2 linked regions of the Lonchura striata genome follow. The protein of the gene in region 1 interacts with the protein of each later gene in a pairwise test. Links are inferred from orthologs where the notes say so. Each region holds a gene or a part of one and is shown on either strand. Other genes may lie near its edges.

Region 1 (9,579 bases):
AGACATCTTATCTCAAACTGCTCATAGCAAATGGAACACCCGATCTTTATTTTTTGATTTAATATTTATCCGATTCCTAAAGATCCAGAGTTGCAAATTTTCTTCAAAGTAATTTTGGCCCTAAGTTTTTACTGAAAAAAAAATTGATTTTTTTTTGCACTTCTGTGATAAATTGGTACCACTGCTCCACTTCTAGCAACCAGTTATCAGGTTGCACTCTGCAATCAGAAAATCTGTAATCAGATTCTTTTGAACTCTTCCAGAAGTTTTGTCACAGCACCTTTCTTTCACTATGTGATTTCTGCCTGCATAAACACAATTTAATGTTGAAGTTCATTTAGATTAGCTGTTGTAATGTTGCCTGATGAGCTGCCAGATAGACACGTGTAGATACTTCAGCCAAGATTTGATCTGCTGCTGCTAAATTCTCACTTGCCTGAGGTTTTCATAATCCTTAGGGCATTACCTCGGCTGCTAATTACTTCTCTCATCATGTACAAAATTGTGTTATTTCCCTTAAAGGTGATGCATCACCTTCATCCAGCTTAACTTGCAGACCTGCAAGTCTGTTTCCAGTGTTCCATTGAGCTTCTTGTTCTACTGGTTTCCTGTCAGCTTCTACTTTTCAATTACAACAGTTGGGAAGCACATGATTTCAGTACCTGTACTTTTAGATTTTGGAATGTAGTTAATTTTACCTATTGGGCATACCTGTCCCTGCTTCCTTTTTAGATGAATGCACACTGTCAGCAGTTGCATATTCATGCAATGATTGTGTCTAACTTGCAGAAACATTTTAAGATATCTATGTGCAAAATGTCATGGAGGTATACTTTGTACTGTGTTCTGTGCTGTGAACCAGGCCAAAGGGGAGGATATGGTTTAATCATTAGAAACCTTGGACTGAGAGGCATTACTTCAGGTTTCTATTCTTGGTTTTAATGCTGACTTAACATGTGACTTGTGTGAGTGATATAACCTTTACAGGCCCCTGTCTACCCACAGATAAAATTAGTGTTACAATCTCTACTTCTCAAGTTTTGTCATTAAAAAGAGTACACAGGTCTGTCTGTGCAAGCCCACTAAATAAAGAGTTCACCTCTGAGGATTCATTTTCATCCCTTTCTATCCTAATCCTTCACTGGCACAGCTTCTCCTTCCTGGGGCTCTGGCCCATACACCGAGTTAGAGATCTCTCATGACTTCATCTCAATAAGCCAAAGAAACTGTAAACCAGAAGAATGAGGGTTGTGAGCACAGGAGAAATCACATCTTTGGTGTATGGCTTATGAATAAACTAATCACTCTCACAAGCAATCCTGGCAGCTGTAAACCTCAGCTTCAGAGTCAAAGGGAATAATGACCTGCCTAATCCAGACACACCAAATTTTGGTAGTTGTGGATAATGAGAGGGACAAAAAAAACAGACCACCAATTAGTGGAGGGTTCTGTGCATAATTTTATGAAGCAGTTAGGTGCCACCATGCCATAAAAGATGTATTTGGGTTGGACAAAACTGTGACAACTGTGTTCCTCTATGGCTCATACAGGAACTGCGTTGAGTAAGTTTTATTTCTGCAGGATTTAAAAATATTGCATTTATGCAACTTGTAAGTGGTATAGATTTACATATGCATGAGTCAAAATCTTTTTTTCCCCTTGCTTGTGTGATTAGACCAGCTAGAGACAAAATGGACCTTGAAATGAATTGGCCCAACTATGCATCCATCTTACAGCTCTGCTCTATAAAATACCTGTCACAGGAGATATGAAAACTCTCTGGAAAATCCCACTCTTTAAGTACAATCTAGTGTTGACAGTGCTGATTTGGATCTGTACTGTTCTTCTCCTCAAGTTTCTAATTTTCAAAATAAAAAATAGAAAATAGAAGTTCCTGAAAGCTCGAGCCAAAAGAGCAAAAGAACAGTTTTGAATTTTAAGTGATACTCTTGGACTAAATTTAACAGTGAGGAGAAACTCAGCTTTGTTAGCTACACCTTCATGTATGAGGACTGTATCAATTAGCAGAAAATATTTCAATTGTTAAAGTATTATCAAAATAAAAAAAGGAAGAAGGAAGGAAATTAATTTTACTAGCCACTGCTACAGCAACAAATTTCCACAGAAGGGTGCTGAAAAGCTACATAGTCTTTCCTTGGATTTGTGTATCAGCTAAAATATTAACAATCCAAGAAGGAAATGTTAAGAAACTAATAAAACAATAAAGAATTAAAATAAAGTTTAATATATGAGTGAGTGTATCTGATGAAACAACTTACAGAAGGGATCAGAAGTTCTGTGTGCTAGCACAAAGCCTAACTCTAAGCTGGATACATGTTCTCTGAATGTTCCTGGAATAAATGATAATGCTGGTAGAAAGATAAGTGAGAGAGGCACAGAACCTTATGACATTATTTATTATAAGAAAGTGCCTGTTTTGCTGAGAGGGTAAATACCTATTAGAGACGAGGGGTGATCTTAGAACTCCTACTGACTCTACTTAAAGCAGAATTTTCCTCATCACCTTGATGTTTAGTCAGTGCAGGTAGCAGAAGACTACTCTCTCTTGTTTGACCATAGCTATGCTCGTATCCAACTTCATACCTGTAATGCTGAAGCAGTAACATTCCCTTTTTGTTTTCCAGACACTTCCAAAATTATTCTTCCAGCTCCTAGCCCTTTGATTTTTTAAATATTTCCTTTTAAAACATAGAAGTGTATTATTCCAGAGGAATCTCTGTGGATGCACTGTACTCAGAGACAAAATAGCATCTTTGTTCCAGTTGTGTTACCTTCTTGTAAAGACTGGGCTAGCTGCTTGTGGAGCACAGAGGACTCACATTTGGGGAGTTTTTCTATGGTAATGGAGATAGTTGGTACTTTTTAAAAACACAGCCCATAATTCATGGTACCATGAAAACATTAATGTTATCTTAAATGTGAAAACAATCATGTTATCTTAAATGTATGGCCTCATATGGCTTCCAAGAGAAATGTTTCCTAAAATACAATGTGTAATATAAACTTGGCTACATATGCAAAGGAAAACTAATTACAGGGAAACAAAAATATTGCCTCAAATCCAAGGAGCTTGAGACAGGAAAGTTTCTGTCATTCCTCTTGAGAAATTAGAGCCCATTCACATTTAAGCTCTTCTCAGAAGCTTGTTCTGAACTTCTTGGAAAGAATTCAGGAAAGTGGAACAAATAGCATTTATTGTGATTCTTCAGTCTTTTACAATGGACAATATTATTTAAAATTATTTAGAAGAAACATCATCATATTAACCCAGTAGAAGTGCATGCCTGTGTACAGTAATTGCCAATTGACAGTAGCTTTGCTAACCTTGATTGCTTTTTACGGATTTATGAGAAGCAGTCCCTGAACCCCTGAGGGGCCTGCAGACCACTGAGGGAATAAACTGCCCTGTTCTGTTCTGGGGTTTATACCATGGCACAGCAACAGGTTTAGGAAATACAGAACAACTAAGTCTCCAGTCAGTATTGAAAATTAACAGCCCTGGAAGTTCAGGGGTAAGGTGACAGGGGTGTGTCAGTAAGTTTATTATAATTATCAGTTACCGTGACGGGGTGTGTTGCATGGATCGTCATGGATGTTCCTAATTAAGCTGCTGATGTACAGAAAGCTATGCCAACAGGTATCTTTACAGATCTGGATGCCAAGGCAAGTGTAGGAAGAAAGTAGGGAATGCATGCCTTTCTGTATTTTCATGTAGTAGAAAACAAGGGAATCAAAGTCTTAGATTCAAAAATCTGAAGGTGCTTCAGGGTGTTCTGTGAATAAAATCACAACTGTCTGATTTTCACAGTGAAAGAATATCTCCAGGGGGGAGGATGTTTTTGTAGTAAAGCACAACTTTTTAGGATGTGCAGATTCAATGTAAGTACTGTTTCATTATTGGGTGGGTGGGTGAGACGGCAGAAGAAATGACTCGGTTTGCACGGATGAATAACGACCCAATTCCTCTGCTGAACTAAGGTGTGATTCTTTGGCAGACTGATGTTTCTGTGGAGGCTGCATTAATTTGTATTTGCATACTATGGGGATTACTTTACACAGATCGCCTTAATTCTGTGTCTGAGCTTATGCTGAATCTTCTCTGTGGTGTTTATTACCTCAGAATATATCTGCTCAGGAATTCTGCTCAAAAGGGGGAGTTCTTCACTCAGGGAGCACAGGTGTATGGCGTGAGGTAAAGCGATTTATGTGGAAAAATAAGGAAATCTGCATTCAAACACGCTTTTTAGGTAATGGGAAGTTTAGTATGTCATTTGGTGCCAATTTGAGATAATTTCCTCTCCTGCTAGAGAGATGTGAACTGAACCGCAGATTGTGTTGGCTCTTTCTAGTCTTTGAGAAGTATCAAAGTTAACGAGCCATAGGGATAACGCTGGGGGCTGAGAATAGGGAGCGTGCAGTTTTATTCTTGCCCCGGCAATTATGCGCTACGCATGTGGCCACAGCGTTTAACTCTTGGTACCCTCAGTTTCTCTGCTTGACAAATAGTGACTCACGCGTTCTGCACGGGGAGCCAGTGCATCGCTAGAATTCCTGCTTGCGAAATCGGTTTAAATCTTTTGGAGAGAAGAGTTAATGGTTGCAGGGTAAGGCCAGCAGTGCCGCGGGCGGGATGCGGGTGCAGACACGTATCATTTCCCAGCTGCCCAGCCGCGCGGCGTTGCCTCCCATCTGCGTTTCCCAGCCCGCTGGAACACGAGCGGGAGGCGGCGGGAGCCGGGCGGCCGCGCTCCCCCGGGGCTCCGGCGGCGAGGGGCGGCGGGAGCCCCGCGCGGTGCGGCCGGGCCCGCCAAGAGTTAACGGCGGCTCCCCCGGGGCCGCGCCGCCGCCTCCCCACCCCGGCGCTGCATTATTATTATTATTTCTCCCCCCTTCCCTCGCCTTCCAGTTTTGGCAGGGGATTAAAGCAGCTCCCCCCTGTGGCAGCAGTGACCCAGAAACGAGTTTGATTCACGGAGTCCTTCCTCCATAACAAGTACAAACGTCAGTCAGAGGGAATCTGTGTGTGTGTGTGAGAGTGTGTGTGTGTGTGGCGCAGCGAGCCGCGCTCCGTGCCCGCTGCCCGGCGCCGCGCCGAACTCATGCGGCGGCCCCGAGCCCTCCGCGCAGGGGGAGCCCGGCCGCGCCGCCCGCCCTCGTCGCCGCCGCGCCGCCGCCAGCAGGTAACCGTGCCCGCCGCAGCGCCAGCCGCGGAGCCGCCAGCACAGCCATATTTGATGGGGTTTTTTTGTCGCTCCGGAGGCGGCGGGAGAGCAGTTTCGTGCCGAAGGTCGCTGCCTAGTGGAAATAAGATAGTACGTCATTAACATGGCGCCAAGAGCCGCGCCGCTCGGTACGGGGCGAGGGGAGGCGGCCGAGTTGCGGCTCCGCTATCCCACAAGCAACTTGTGCGGGGCTGTGGCGGGCGGAGGCGGGAGGGGAGGCAGCGCTGCCGCCCGGCGCGACCTGCCGCTGCCGGCTCCCTTTTTGTTCCGCTGCGGGCGAGCGGGCAGCGCGCAGCTGCCCAGGTGCAGCGGCCAAGTGAGCCGCCGGTGTGCCGTGCCGTGCCGTGCCGGTCTGCGCCGTGCCGTGCCGTGCCGTGCCGTGCCGTGCCGTGCCCCCGGCCCTGCGCCCCAGGCGTCGCTGCAGGCTGCGCCGCGGGGGCAGCGCCTGGTATCGCCCGCCGCGGAAAGTAGGAAGCGTTGGAGCAACTTGGTAGCCAGATGGCAATGGCAGAGCGCAAGTCTTGCTCGGATACTGATGTGTAGGAAGGGGGTGGGGGAGAGTCATGGCCACTGTGTGTCACCGTGTTACCCAGATGCCCACGAGACCCGTCGCCTCTCGCCGCGGGCGGGGAGCGGTGTGCGTGGGAGAGGAGGTGTTCGGTATGCAGGAGCAGCTTTGTTTCCCTCCCTTTACCACCCCGCTTGCACTTCGATTTGGCTTGGGGCGGGGGGGGGGGGGGGGGCGTAAATGCTTGGAATGCATAAAAACTGCTCATCGGTGAAATTAAACAGAAGTTGCCTTTCGGAGCGGGAGAGCCGTAGCCGGTCTGCCTCCCGCTTGATGGGCGCCGGTGGGCGCTCTACTGGAGGCGCGGAGCGCCGAGCTGTCAGAGCTGGCTCTGTCCCCCCAGACGGGTGCGCGGTGTCTCCTGCTGGAGAACAACTTGCCCGAGCCCCGAAGTGCACGTGTTTGAGAGTGGGAAAAGGCGGGGAAATGCGTGCGGCCCCACCGGGGCGCGGGGCGGCATCGGGGCAGCGGCCGGCAGGTGCACGGCGACCCCGCCGCGCCGGCCCCCGCCCCGGCCGTGGGAGGTGGAGCGGCAACGGGCCGGGGGGCGCGCAGCGAACTTGGGCAGGACGTGGGGGGTCCGGCCCCCTCCCGCTGCTGCTGCCCGGCGCAGGCCGAGGGGCGAATCCGTGTGCTCGGGCCGGAGTTTGTGGGCGAGGGAGCGGAAAGGCGGCCGGCGGTGTTGGGGCGCGAACGGAACATCGCGGGGGGCGGCGGCGAACGCCCCAACTTGCTCGGGCGGCGGTCTGGGCAGCTCCGCGATTTGGCTCTTGCCCCCGTGCCTGGCGAGCGGGACGGAGCGGGGCTGCGGCACTGCTGTGTAACGGGCCGCTCTCCCTGGGGAGGTGAGTGCGGCTCCAGCCATCATTCCACTTGTTCCTCTTAGACAAAGCCACCCTGCCCAGCCCTGGGCACGCGTAGTCGCCAGCTCCCAGGAGAATTTTGGTGGTGTTTGTGTTTTTTTGTTTTTTTTTTTTTTGGGAGGGGGGCAGCCTGGAGGATGTTTGGTTGTTTTGGTTTTATTTGTAGAAATTTTTTTAATTTGCTTTTCCCTTCCCGTTCGCGCCCGCCCGTTCGTTCCCGATAGGATGAATTTGGGAAGGGTGGAGGCAAAGGGTGTTTGTTTGTTTGCACCGCCTGCTGGTTGGTTTCCTGTGACAAGAGGTGATAACACAGTTTCCAGAACTGTCTGGGAGTGGGAGGAGAGACGGACAGAGAAAATGAGCTCGTCTCCGAGCTGCCGCTCGATCCGCCGTCCCGTCCACCCCCTCGGTGGCAGCGTGGCCACGGGGGCGGGCGGGGAAGGTGCCGTGGCCGTTTTCGGCAGTGACAGCGCTTTGAGCGAGAGGCGGCGGAGCCGGGGGCACCAAGTTTGATTTGCAGCCGTGGCCGAGCGGATTGGTGCGACCGGCGGCGGGGAGGAGCGGGAGCCGGGAGGGAGGAGAAGGAGGGGGCCAGCCGGGCCGCTTCTCCTGGAAGGCGGCCGTGCAGCTGGCCGGGGAGGTGCCACCCCCGCGGGGGAGGTGTAGCCCGGCCAGGAGGCTGCTCCGTGACCGCAGCCGGCCGTGCCCTGGCGGCTCCGGGGTCGGCGCCGCTGCCGCGAACCCTGGGCGGGCGCGGTGCCGGGCCGGGGCCGAGATGGGATCGCTGCGGGAGGAGGAGGAGGAGAGCCGCCCTGAGCGGTGCCCGGCCGGGCTGGAGCCGGCTGTCGGCGTGAGTGCCGCGTTGGAAGCGACTCCCGAAGGCTCGGCTCCTCTCCTCCTGCGGGGAGTGGCCCCATCCCGCAGCCGTGGGCTCAGCGCACCTGCGAGCAGCGCCTGCCGCCGGCCAACTTCTCCTGCCGGCTCTCTCCGGCTGGTCCTCAGCTGCTCGCCTTATTCTGAGAAAGTTGATTAGGTTCACCGGCAGGTGAGAGTCGGGGCATCCTGAGATCTGTCACCTCCCTGCCCCTTCCCAGTAAAACAGGCCGTGGAAGTATTAGAAATTCCAGTAGGATTCAGCAGCACATCTTAGTTGATGTTTTTATGCCAGCCCCATTTTTTAGAGAAAGGTTTTAGCTGTTATTTTGAATAATTTCCTTTTTAAGCAGGTGCTGTCTTTTAACTAAGTCAGAAGCTGCCCACACTTGTAAACCTAAAACCTTCATTAAAGTTATGCCAAAATATGCTTGTTATGATTCTATTTCTAGATGTTTCTCACACTCAGTGGGATATTGTTGAAACAGCAAGAATTGTATGTTTTAGTGGCAGGATTTTCCCTCTGGCTTCAGATAGCACTTGCTCCCAGCTTTTGAGCTATGTTTAATACATATGTTTAAAATAAAATAATAATAATAAACTCCCCTTTCCTCTCACAGCTGCAGATTTCCCTTCCAGCTTCTCTGGTTTCATTCCCAATTCACAGAACCTAGTAAAAAAACCCTCAAACTTCCAGTGTTTCCTCAAATGATTTCTCCATGTGTTTAGTACTGCTGCTTCATGCTCCCATTTTCAACTGGAGATGGCCAAACTGGTACCATTTCCTAGGTGGAAGAGAGGAACTGCAGTGGGTGCAGGTTGAGTTGCAATAATTCTTGGAACGCAGTTCATGCATTGCTCGAGATTTTGGATGGTCCGTTTCACTCACTCCCACAGTTTGGGAATAATTTGCTGCCACTGTTCAGGTAGTAAGTTAATATTATGGGCTGGCTTGCACAGGTGCATAAATAAGCACGTGGATTCCTGAGAAGTGTTGGGTTGATATGGCCAAATTGTGCTTTTCTCTTATATTGATAAATTTTGGATAGGTGTGCTGAATTTGGTAGAAATATTCCCTGTGGAGAACACTGTTGGCCTTGTTTCATGACACTTGGAGGATTTTTTTCCTCCAGATTTAAGGTCTGTGACTCTTTGCACTGTGGATGGTGCTCCGTAATAGAATTTTAAGTAAATTTTAGTAATAGCTTATTTCTGATGTGCTTCCTTTTTTGTTTGTTTGTTTGTTTTAGGTCTAGGGTAGAAGCAAAAGAGCTTCTTGTGATGTCAGGTGTCAGTGAAGAAGGGGTGGTGTTATAAATAAGCTATTTAAAAAGAACCCAATAATAGAACCCAAATGTCTCCATCTTCTATTTTATTATACTGTGTCACACTTCGCTTCCATTTGTACAGTAGGTGTTCTGAAGCAATTTCTTGTGTACTAGAGATAATTAGGTCTTCGTTTCATTGCAGTTAGTGGGTTACTTTCAGGAAAAGCCAGTTTTTCAGTTTGTCTTCAGGGTGTACATCTGTCATAACTCTGCTTTCTTCCCATTCTGTCTCTGCAGCTGTTCAGTGCAGTTTGTTACAGTGACACCCGTTAACATGGTTACAGTTAATTGTCTGTCAGAGTTTGAATTATACACTCTTTTACCCAGGGGTTTATGCAGCCCTTGAAAATACTTCAGTAAGAATTGTGCTGTGGAAAACCTTTGACCTGAGGATGTAGATTTTCCCATGTATATTTTTTTTTACAATCTGGTTCTGTTTAGCTATATGCGTAACAAGGACTGACACACTTTACATCTTTCCCTTCGATTGCCTCTCTAGTTGAGGTCAAACTTAGTGAAGAACCATGTGGGGTTCTTAACTGTGTATGTGGCACATGGGGGTGTGTGTGTGCACGCTGTTGTCCCAGTTTCTTGGGGTAGTGTCTGGATTTCTGCCCTTTGTATTTTTTACACTCTTATCAGTGCAGCTCCTGGGACTTCAGCGTGGGAGAAAAAAGGAAAGGTCTTGACATCCATGTCCAGTG
Region 2 (10,012 bases), on another chromosome or scaffold:
CCAAACTGAAGGAAGCTTCAGTGTTATTTATAACAGTCATTATTTTTAATCCTCTTTAAAACTTTGTATCACTTCCCAAAGTTTATCAGTACAGAAAATGTCAATGTTCAAGCTGGGCTGCTCCAGCAGAATTCCAATACTCTGCAGGGTCTGAACAGGAAGCTCAGATCAGTATTCACAGGGTGACCTGAGGCCCTGAAGACACATCTGGGAACTCCCCAGAACAAGCTCAGACAGAAATAACAACTTTAGGTTGGGCAATTTGATTTTAACAGTTTGTGACAAACCAAAGAGCTCTGAGAGGTGTGAAAGATGCAGAGAGGGAAGGGGGAGCAAGCACAGAACTGGGACAAGGGAAATGCTCTGTAGCAGTTATTCCTTGGCCTCCAGGGCCAAAAGTAAATACTAAATATGGAAGGAAAACCCCAAAGTGGCTGGATGTCTCCTCATCTTCTGAAGAACAAGTGATCCAAGAAGATTAAAAAGCTTCACACTCGCAGTGTGAGGCAAAGCAGAGCTGGCCACAGTTCTTCCCTCATTTACAGGTAAAAGCTTGGGACAGGCAACCCCTGAAAAGTTAAGAGGGGAGAGAAGAGGAGCAAGTTTTACACATGCAAAGCTTTGGCTGAAAAGGCAGAAGGAAAACCTTCCCAAAGCAGAGACAGCAGTCAGCAGTTCTGTCACAGATGGGGAAAGGAAACTTCCCTTTTGCAAGAGAACACCCAAAGTGGTGATTTAGGCTCTTAAAGAGCTCAGGCAGCAGAGGGAGTGAAAAGCTCCCTGCAGCCAGGGAAGGGCTGAGATTCCTTGGAAAGATGGTGAATGCCCAAGGGAAACAGAGCAACTCATCAGAGACTTCAGCAAACGGAAGGGGGAACAGGCCAAGGGCAGGACAGCACATTCCTTCCCCATCCCTCCCTCCCTGACTCCCCAGAACTCCACACTGTGACCAAATCCTGGGGACTCTGCAGTGAGCTAACACCTTGTGTCTGCCAGCAAAACGAGGGAGTTCCAAACAAGAACATCTCTTCATTCCATTACCAACATTCCCACTGCATACCTGTAATTGAGTTTCTCCAACCAATCCACTGGGATGCCCGAGCCACGGCGTGAGGAGAGAGAGAGAGGTGGCACCTGGAGCAGCCTGGCCGCTCCCAGGCTGCAGAACAGCAGCAGCTGCTGCACACACGGCACCTCCCCGAGCTCCTGCTGCTGCTACAGCCCCTTCTGCACGGGGCCCAGCCCTGCAGAGCCCTCACACACCCAGGGTTTCCCCTTGGGCAAGAATTCCACCTGCTCCCAGAGCCTGGGACGTTTGGCCTGGCGTTCTTACGCTTCCGAAGCAAGCATTCCAACGGGTCGGAGTTTTCCTGGGGCTTGGAACTGCTCTGCCTCGAGGCAAGGACTGAGCAAGGCCGAGCACAGCACGAGAGCAGCAGTTTGGGAGAAGTCCAGAACAACTCCACGGCAAGTCCAAACTGTTGGGTTCATCAGCAGTGCCAAACCCCAGGAATGATCCCAGTTTGAGCAGGACAAGCCCTGCAGCCAGAAGGAAAAGGCTCCAACGTTCCCCTAGGAGCATCTGCTGGAATGAGCAGCTGAACAGCCCGGCAGGAAACAATCTCAGCCTGGCCTCTGCCATCCACGGGAACTGGAGAGAAACCACCAGACACTGGGAACGGGATTCAACACAGCACAGAGCTGGACATCTCCTCACCCGGAACACCAACGGATCTGGGGCAGCCACGGGGCAGTGAGGGCTCCGTCCATCATCAGGGCCTGCTCAAGCAGCCCTTGAGGCTGACACTGTTGCCATGGCACAAAACCACTGCTGGCTCTCAAACAGCCCCTAATTTGGGAAGCTCCCAGTCTGTTCCACAGATTCATTCCCTTTTGCCTCCAAAGACAAACAATTGAAACCCTCTGGAACTTTGTTTTCCCCTTCTTTAGGCCACACCTCAAACGCCTGAACTGCCAGTCCTTGCCCAGCTCCAGCACAATGACCACTGCCCACTATCCTGGCTGATGCTCTGGATCCAGAAGTGCCCCACAGGAAATGTTGTGCTGTTACTCTGAACTTGGTTTAGACATTTTAAGGCTGGAGAAGCCAAGGATTTTCTTGCCACTCCACTGCACTTCCAAGGTGACTTGAAAACTGGAAAGATGGGCACCAGCCTGAAGAAATGACACTAATTTAGCCTTGTCACTACCTGAGCACTCAGCTCAATCTCTTCATCTTCCTCAAGAGACGAAGATGTTCAGGTCAGCAAAGGCAGCTCCCATCCACATAGGAATTAAAGGGAATTGTGGAAGTGGGAACACCACAAATCTGATTTCCAAAGCCCTGATTCTGCTGCAGCACATGCCAAAGCACCAACCTGATTTTGCAGGTCACCCTTAAATACACTGAACTGCAACCAATGGCAGAATGGCTCTTGAAGCCAGCCCAAACCCCTCCAAATTTGGGGACACAGCTGGATATCCACACGCCAGAGCAGGACATAACCACCTGAATGCCCAAAAAAAACATTCAAATGCTTCAAAAGTTCTGCTGCACTTCAAGGCTAAAATCTGCTGAAAGCCTGGGCTTGGATCCCTAAGGAAAACACTGCTAATCCTGGGATGAGGCTCTAGCAGCTGTGTGCCACAGGCCTCCACAGGAACCATCCCCTGGAAGGCTGCCAGGGACAGAGGTTGTGCAACACCCAGAAGGCTTCGGGAAGAGCTTTTCCAAACTCGTGTGGCCGAGCGCACCCAGAGGTGCAAGTGCTGAGCTCCAGCCAGAGCCAGGCACGGGCTGGAGCACAGGACAGCCTCTCCACCTGAGCTGCACTTTACCTTTCTCTTTGACCAGGTCCTTCAGCGACTGCCACTTGACGTCGAAGGGGATGTTGGTGATGAAGGCTCGGTACCTCTTGGCGGGGTTGGTGTAGGGCTCGAAGCGGTTCCCTCCCCTCTTCATCCCCTTCTCCTTCTTCTTCTCATTCGGGGTCGGGCGCTCGCCTTCGCTGCAAGGAGAGAAGCCCTGTGAGCTGCTGGGGATGGAGCAGTGCCACCACCTCCAGCTGGAACAAAAGCAGAGCTGAATCTCTCAACTCCAGAGCAGTTTGGATGGGAAGGGAAAAGCCCAGACCATCCTGAAAGGAAAAAAACAAATCATGGGAACAAAAAAGTTTCGGGCTCAGTCTTACATAATTCCCTTCACTAATCCAATTAATCTCCTTGCTCAATCAGTGCTGCTGGAGAAGATGCACCGACACATCTTGAGGAGGAATTCAGAACACATCAGATAAATCTGAAATTTCTACAATCCTGAGCTTCTCCCAACCTAGCACCTGTGCAGCCCTGCAAACGCCAGGTCAGAAATCCCAGCTCCATCCCTTCAGGACCATTTCAATCCCTGAACAGACACAACAGCCTGCAGGGAAAAAGGAAATTAAGAATGCAGAAACCTCTGAAGGTTTATATTTGAGGCTGTTCCCTGCTTCTATCACCCAGCAGCCAAAGCAATGGGAATTTTCCAGTCTTTCTCTCACTGAATTTTATTTTAAAGTTTCTTTATTAATGAAATAATTAAAACTCCAAAATTAGACTTGAAATAGGACAATCCTTTTCCCACTTTCATTTCTGTTTGGTTGGTGAAGTAACATAAAACGTAGCTGTGTTAAAAGCTGTACTCTGATTTTAGTTGTTATCTCTTAAACTGGATTTCCTCAAGGCCACTGAGAACTTTGGTGTTATCCCTGTGGAAGTGAGAGCTCTGCCACGTGGAGCTGGATATTCCAAACACAACTGCACCTGCAGACACAAACAAATTCCCTGGAAGCACCCCAAGTGCAACAAGGTCAGGAAAAATAAAACCACAGCAGAAGGATAACTTTATTTAAATATACTTCCACGAATGAACAGGCTCCTCATGGAGACAAACTGCTGCTTCCATGTTCCCAGGAGTGGTGGGAACAGAATCCAGGGTGGGAACACCCTTCCCTGTCCCTGGGACCAGGGATGTCTCTGCCCCTGCCTGGCTCCAGCTGCACAGTCAATGAAATTGTGTCTGTCCGGATTTTACTGCTCAAAGCACAGTCTGACTGTTCTCCAATGGAAAAAAAAAAAAATAATGGAACTTTTTCCCCTAAAGCGACACTCGGAAAACTGTTCCTGGGCTCGGGAAACACAAATCCAAGCTCGGGTCTGCAACAGGAATCACAGCACACCAGGTTTAACCTGATTCTTATCACCCCGCCATGAAATGAGGCCAAAACCGCCCTGAGGGATAGAAGTTCTTTCTATTCTGCGGATTTGGTACCAAAACCGGCTTTGCCAACTGTGGAATTTTCATCGAGCACACACATGAGGAAGTGAGAAGCAGCTGAGGCTTTTTGCGCCCTTCATCCCCACGTTTACAGAGCCGGAACTGCAGCGCTGCCGATTCTGGTTTAAATTTCTCTAAGGTTTTCCCGACAGCAGCCATCGGGATTGTGCAGCCCCTCCCCTTAAACTCTCACCCTCGAGGTGTTTGCGCTCCTAAATCCCCTCACGCTCAAATTACCTCCAAAAAGGAGCACGCCGGGCTCCAAAGCGCGCAGGAGGATGAGGGAGGTGCTGAGAGCAACGGAGCTGTTCAAAGTTTACTGACAGCACAAAAGTAATGAACTTACACATCCCCCCACTGGCACAGCCTGATCCCCCCTGGGGAAACCAAAACTCCAGCAAAGCTGAGCAGCGGGGATGCTGAGGGGATTGCTGAGGGGACGGATGGTGGCGATCCCCGGGCTCCCCGCCCGCCGGGCCCCGGCCCGCAGCGCCGCGGGTGCCCCGGAGGCGCCTTCGGAACGGTCCCGCCCGGGATCCCGAGGCGTGCCCGGAGGGAGCAGCGGCCGCAGCGCCAGGAGAGGCCCCGCAGCGGTGTCCACCTCGCGGGACCCCTCGCCGGCCCCGGTCCGCCCCGCTGCCCTCAGGCCGGGCCCCGCAGCGGGGAGGCCGCACGCGGCCCTTCGGCCCCACCGGCAGCGCAGCTCCTCACGACCCCCCCCTACCTCTTGGGGGGCGGCCCCCCCGCGCCGGCCGCCCCGTTGGGCGCTGGCGGAGCCGCCGCTGCCGCCGCGGCCGCCGCCGGGGGCGGCTCCATTTTGCCGGGGGCGCTCTGCGAGGCCGCGGCCGCCGCCATTTCCCAGCGCGTCCTTTGTGTGGGGAGCGCGGGGCACGACGGGACGGCGCCGCGGCCCGGGCCGCCAGGGGGCGCCGCGCCGCGCATGCGCGCCACGGGAGAAGGAGCGGCGGGTGGGGTGGCGGGAAGCCGCGCGGGAGCCGCCGCGCATGCGCGGTGAGGCGCCACCGCCGGTAATGGCGGGTCCGCGCGGGCGCGGTGTGGCGGCGCCGTGCGGGAAGGGCAGGTAGCAGCGGGGAGTGGGGGTCTGAGAATGCGCAGGGCTGCGGTCACGAGGTGCGGGCGGGGCTGGCGGCAGCGGCACCTGGGAATGCCGGCGCTGGCGGCTCAGGCTGTGGGAGGTGCGTACGGAATGGCGGCAATAGCAACGGCGCATGCGTAGTGCGGCGGTGCCGTACAGCATGGCTGCCACGGGCTGCGCGTGCTCAGTGGAGTGAGCGGAATAAAACCAGCTGCAAACTCAAAATGACTCCGAGTCCTCAGTTTTTAGAAAGAAAGTGACACTTTAAGCACAAACAGACTGTTTGGTGATTTTTATCTACATTATGAATATGTGTCATTGGGACATAGGGGAGGCCGGGGCCCCATCCCATGGTGCTGTGAGGAAGCCGAGTTTTCCCAGCCCCGGGTCGCAGCTCCGGCGTTCCCCAGCCGGAGCCGGAGCACAGCCAGGAGCCAAGAAGATGCGGAACCCCCTGTGAGGCCGCGGCTCTCCGGCGGACTCTTGGCTGGGTTGTACAACCGCCGTGGGCTCTTCTGTTGACAGACAGCTCGATTAGCCAATAACACGCGAGGAACGGGGAGGCAGCGGCTCGCTGCGCCAATGAGCGGCGGAGGGGGCGGGGCCACGCCCGGAAGCGGCGCGGGGGCAGCGGCGGCGGCACCGGCGGCACCGGCGGTCGGGAGAAGCCGCAGCGATGTCGGAACGGAAAGTGCTCAACGTGAGTCGGAGAGGCATCCCCGCCGAGGGGGCCGGGCTGCGCCAGGGGAGGGCTCCCCGAGGCCGCTGCGGCGGTCCCCGTTGGCTCAGGAGTCGCTCCCGGGATCAGTCTCGGCTGTGCCCGGTGCCCGCCTCGCCACCAGCGCAGAGCACCGAGTGCCCGTCCCGGCCGTCCTTGGGCACCTCCAGGGATGGAGGCTCCAGGGCAGATCGTTCCAGGCTTTAACAGGCCTTTCCGTGAGGGAATTCTCCCAGCCTCCCATTTAAACCTCCCCCGGGGCCGCTTCCTCTCATCCTGTCGCTGTTCCCGAGCCCTACCTGGCTGCAGCCTCCTGCCGGAGCTGTGCGGAGTGAGAAGATTCCCGGTGCTCCAGAATTCCCAAATCTGCTCTCGGTCCATGGAAACATTATTAAATCTTCTCCTTCTCCATAGAAATATTGCCAGAATTCCCAAACTTGCTCACTCTCCATAGAAACATTCCCAAAACTTTTCTCTCTCCATAGAAATAGTCCCAGAATTCCCAAATCTTCTCTCCATAGAAACATTCCCAAGTCTGCTCTCTCGCTGTAGAAATATTGCCAGAATTCCCAAATCTTCTCTCCCCATAGAAATATTCCCAAATCTTCTCTCTCCCCATAGAACTATTCCCATAATTCCCAAATCTTCTCTCCCCACAGAAATATTACCCCCCGGACTTCGATCCGGCCAAGATCCCGAAGCTGAAGCTCCCGAAGGACCGGCAGTACGTGGTGAGGCTCATGGCCCCCTTCAACATGAGGTGAGAGCAGCTCTGGAGCCACGGGGGCACTCCTGGAGCTGTGGGGTCACTCCTGGAATAATGGGGTCACGCATGGAACCGTGGGATCACTCATGGAATAATGGGATCACTCATGGAACAGTGGGGTCACTCCTGGAACAGTGGGGTCACTTCTAGGATGGGCTGGGGGTCACCAAGCCCCCCAGTGCCATGGGCAGGGACGCTCCACTGGGCTGGAACACCTGGAGGCAGCTGAAGGAAGGAGGAATCTCCTTAGGGGGGGCCAGATGTTGGCTGCAGATGTTGCCTCTGGTGCCTCCAGGGCAAGGGAGGGGCTGAGGGAGGGCAGGAGGTGCTGGGTAGGGGTGGTTTCCTTCCAGGACCCCACAGGAAGGCTGGAGAGAGACCAGGGACAAGAGACAGGACACAGGGAATGGCGTCCCACAAGGATGGCTGGGATTTTGGGATGGAATTCCTGCCTTGGAGGCTGGGATAGAACTCCCAGAGCAGCCGTGGCTGCCCCTGCATCCCTGGCAGTGCCAAGGCTGGGCTGGAGGAGCCTGGCACACTGTGAGGTGTCCCTGCCATGGCAGGGCTGGCACTGGGTGGGATTTCAGCTCCCTACCAAACCAAACCAACCCACGATTCCCCGATTTTGAGCTTGGTCACCCCCTAAATTTCCAGCAGCAAAACCCACCTGATAGAAGAAGCCAGCTGGGCTGCTGCTGGTGCTCATTCCCTGTTTTTCTGACATGCCCTGGGCCTTTGCCCTGCCCTTGGCCAGGTGCAAGACGTGTGGGGAGTACATCTACAAGGGCAAGAAGTTCAACGCCCGCAAGGAGACGGTGCAGAACGAGTCCTACCTGGGGCTGCCCATCTTCCGCTTCTACATCAAGTGCACGCGCTGCCTGGCAGAGATCACCTTCAAGGTCAGCCTGGCCCCACAGTTCCAGCCTCTCCCTGCCTTGCAGGAGCTTGGGGTGGAGCCCTGGGAACAGCTGGAGCTGTGCCAGGCTGCTGGGGTGGAGATCCGGAGGTTTGGTTCCCCCAGGGTGGAGATCAGGAGGTTTTGTCCCCCCAGGGTGAAGATCAGGAGAAGGTTTTTTTTTTCCCCCCAGGGTGGTGAGGTGGAGATCAGGAGAAGTATTTTCCCCCCAGGGTGGAGATAAAGAGAAGGGTTTTTTTGCCTCAGGGTGGTGAGGTGGAGATCAGGAGAAGTTTTTTTTTGCCTCAGGGTGGAGATCAGGAGGTTTTTTTTTTCCCCCCAGGGTGGTGAGGTGGAGATCAGGACAAGGTATACCCAATTTCCTCCATCTTGTCCCCTTTGGACCCCTTATCTAGAATCCTAAAATTTTACTTTTGCACCCATGCCACACTTAATTATTACTGATATCAAACCCTCAGAGCTGGTAATTCATCCTGTAAGATTGAAAACTCTTTTCCATGGGCAGAGATCACAGCCAGTGTCTCTGGGGGCTCTGTCCAGGGGGGTTCCTGACCCCTGCCAGGCTCCCAGGGCAGCCAGGGGGAAGCTCTGGACTCCCACAGGCTGGAGCAGGATCCCCACCCACTGTGGTTTTCCTGCTGTTCCCCTCTCAGACAGACCCTGAGAACACGGATTACACCATGGAGCACGGCGCCACCAGGAATTTCCAGGCAGAGAAGCTCCTGGAGGAGGAGGAGAAGAGGATGCAGAAGGAGAGGGAAGAGGAGGAACTCAACAATCCCATGAAGGTACAAGCGCTGCAGGAAAACCTCTCCCACTCTGCCTGACTCTCCCCAGCCGCAGCAGTGACTTTGTAGCCATTCAGATTTTCCTGTCCTACCCAAAAATGAGGATGAGGAGGGTCCTCTTGTGCTTCATCCAGCATGGGGAGGTGTTGGAAGCTCCTGTCAGCTCAAATATCCCAACTTATCCCACCCAGGTCCTGGAGAACCGAACCAAGGACTCCAAGCTGGAGATGGAGGTCCTGGAGAACCTGCAGGAGCTGAAGGAGCTCAACCAGCGCCAGGCCAACGTGGATTTTGAAGCCATGCTGAAGCAGTACAAGGAGCTGGAGGAGGAGCAGAGGCGCAAGGAGCAGGAGGAGGACGAGCAGGAGATGAAGTGAGGGGGCTGGAGGAGCTCGAGTGGGATGAGCCAGGCTGGGCCCGGGCTGTGCTGAGAGAGGGAGGCTGAGTTACCAGGATTTGGGAGGTGGGAGGAGATCCCAGCCTGTCCTGGCAAAGTGTCCAGGGAGAAGGAGTGGAAGGTCCCTCCAAGCCAACCAAGCTGGGATTCTGTGGGATCTGGGCTGCTGTGGGAGGGTCCATTCCCCTGGGAAGGGCCCTCACATGGACCCAGTTTCTGCTCTGGGGTGAAGCTCCAAACCCCAGTGCTCCCACCCCTCAGGATGGAACCTGATCCCAGAGAACCCCCTGGAAAGGGGGATCCCGAGGCTCTGCTGCTGGCCCCAGCTCCCCTGGAGCGAGCAGGGCCTGGCAGTGGGATGGATCCAGCTCCAACCCTCCTGTGTCCCAGCAGGGCCATGCTGGAACAGGCCCAGAACCGCCGGCTCCTGGTGGATTCCGACTCTGACGAGGAAGCGGCGAAACCCCGCCCCAACCCCACGGCCCAGACGAAACCCACGGACATCCTGCAGGAGGTGAGAGAGGCACAGCCTGCCCAGCCCTTCCCCAGCTCCAGAGCTCTGTCCTGGAGCTGTGTGTGCCCGTTGTGTCCCTGCTCCGGGTGACAGTGGGCTCGTGTCACGCCTGAGCAGCTCCCAAAGGCCGTGTCCCTGTGCTGAGAGCAGCCAGGGGTCACTTGGGGATTTCAGGCTGTGACAAAGGCAGGGATGGAGCTGATCCCATCCTCCTTTCCTCGTCAAGAACGAGCTCTGCTGGGCCCTGCTGCTGCTGCTTCAGGCTGGGCCGGCCTCTCCCTGGGCTGTGCTTTGGATTCAGGCAGAACAAAAGAGCTCCCAGAGCCCGGCCTGGAGGGAGGGATTATCCCAACAAACAGCCCTGCCCTCTGCCCCTGTCAATCCCTGCCCCAGGGCCCCGTGTCTGCTGGGCTGGATCAAAGCTGGGTTAATCCCAGCTGTGGTCCCTGGCCTGGCACTAATCCCTGTGCCCAGGGCACTCGGGTTCCATGGCTGGGCCACC

What was found.
Region 2: the proteins of JADE1 (region 1) and YJU2 interact in a two-hybrid assay, tested with the Homo sapiens proteins (2 studies listed by BioGRID and IntAct). The two-hybrid records come from large-scale screens. The link is inferred for Lonchura striata from reciprocal best matches to the Homo sapiens genes JADE1 and YJU2.

The regions. Positions count from the first base shown.
Region 1 is NC_134606.1:67,398,850-67,408,428, reverse strand, and holds the start of JADE1 (protein Jade-1), read left to right. Parts: upstream 1-5,313; 5' UTR 5,314-5,333; intron 5,334-5,874; exon of another isoform or gene 5,875-5,903; intron 5,904-9,579.
Region 2 is NC_134630.1:6,560,444-6,570,455, reverse strand, and holds the start of YJU2 (splicing factor YJU2), read left to right. Parts: upstream 1-6,016; 5' UTR 6,017-6,084; coding exon 6,085-6,108; intron 6,109-6,785; coding exon 6,786-6,886; intron 6,887-7,649; coding exon 7,650-7,794; intron 7,795-8,464; coding exon 8,465-8,599; intron 8,600-8,790; coding exon 8,791-8,972; intron 8,973-9,389; coding exon 9,390-9,510; intron 9,511-10,012. Other genes in the region: heterogeneous nuclear ribonucleoprotein M-like, read right to left, coding at 2,839-3,008, 5,037-5,167.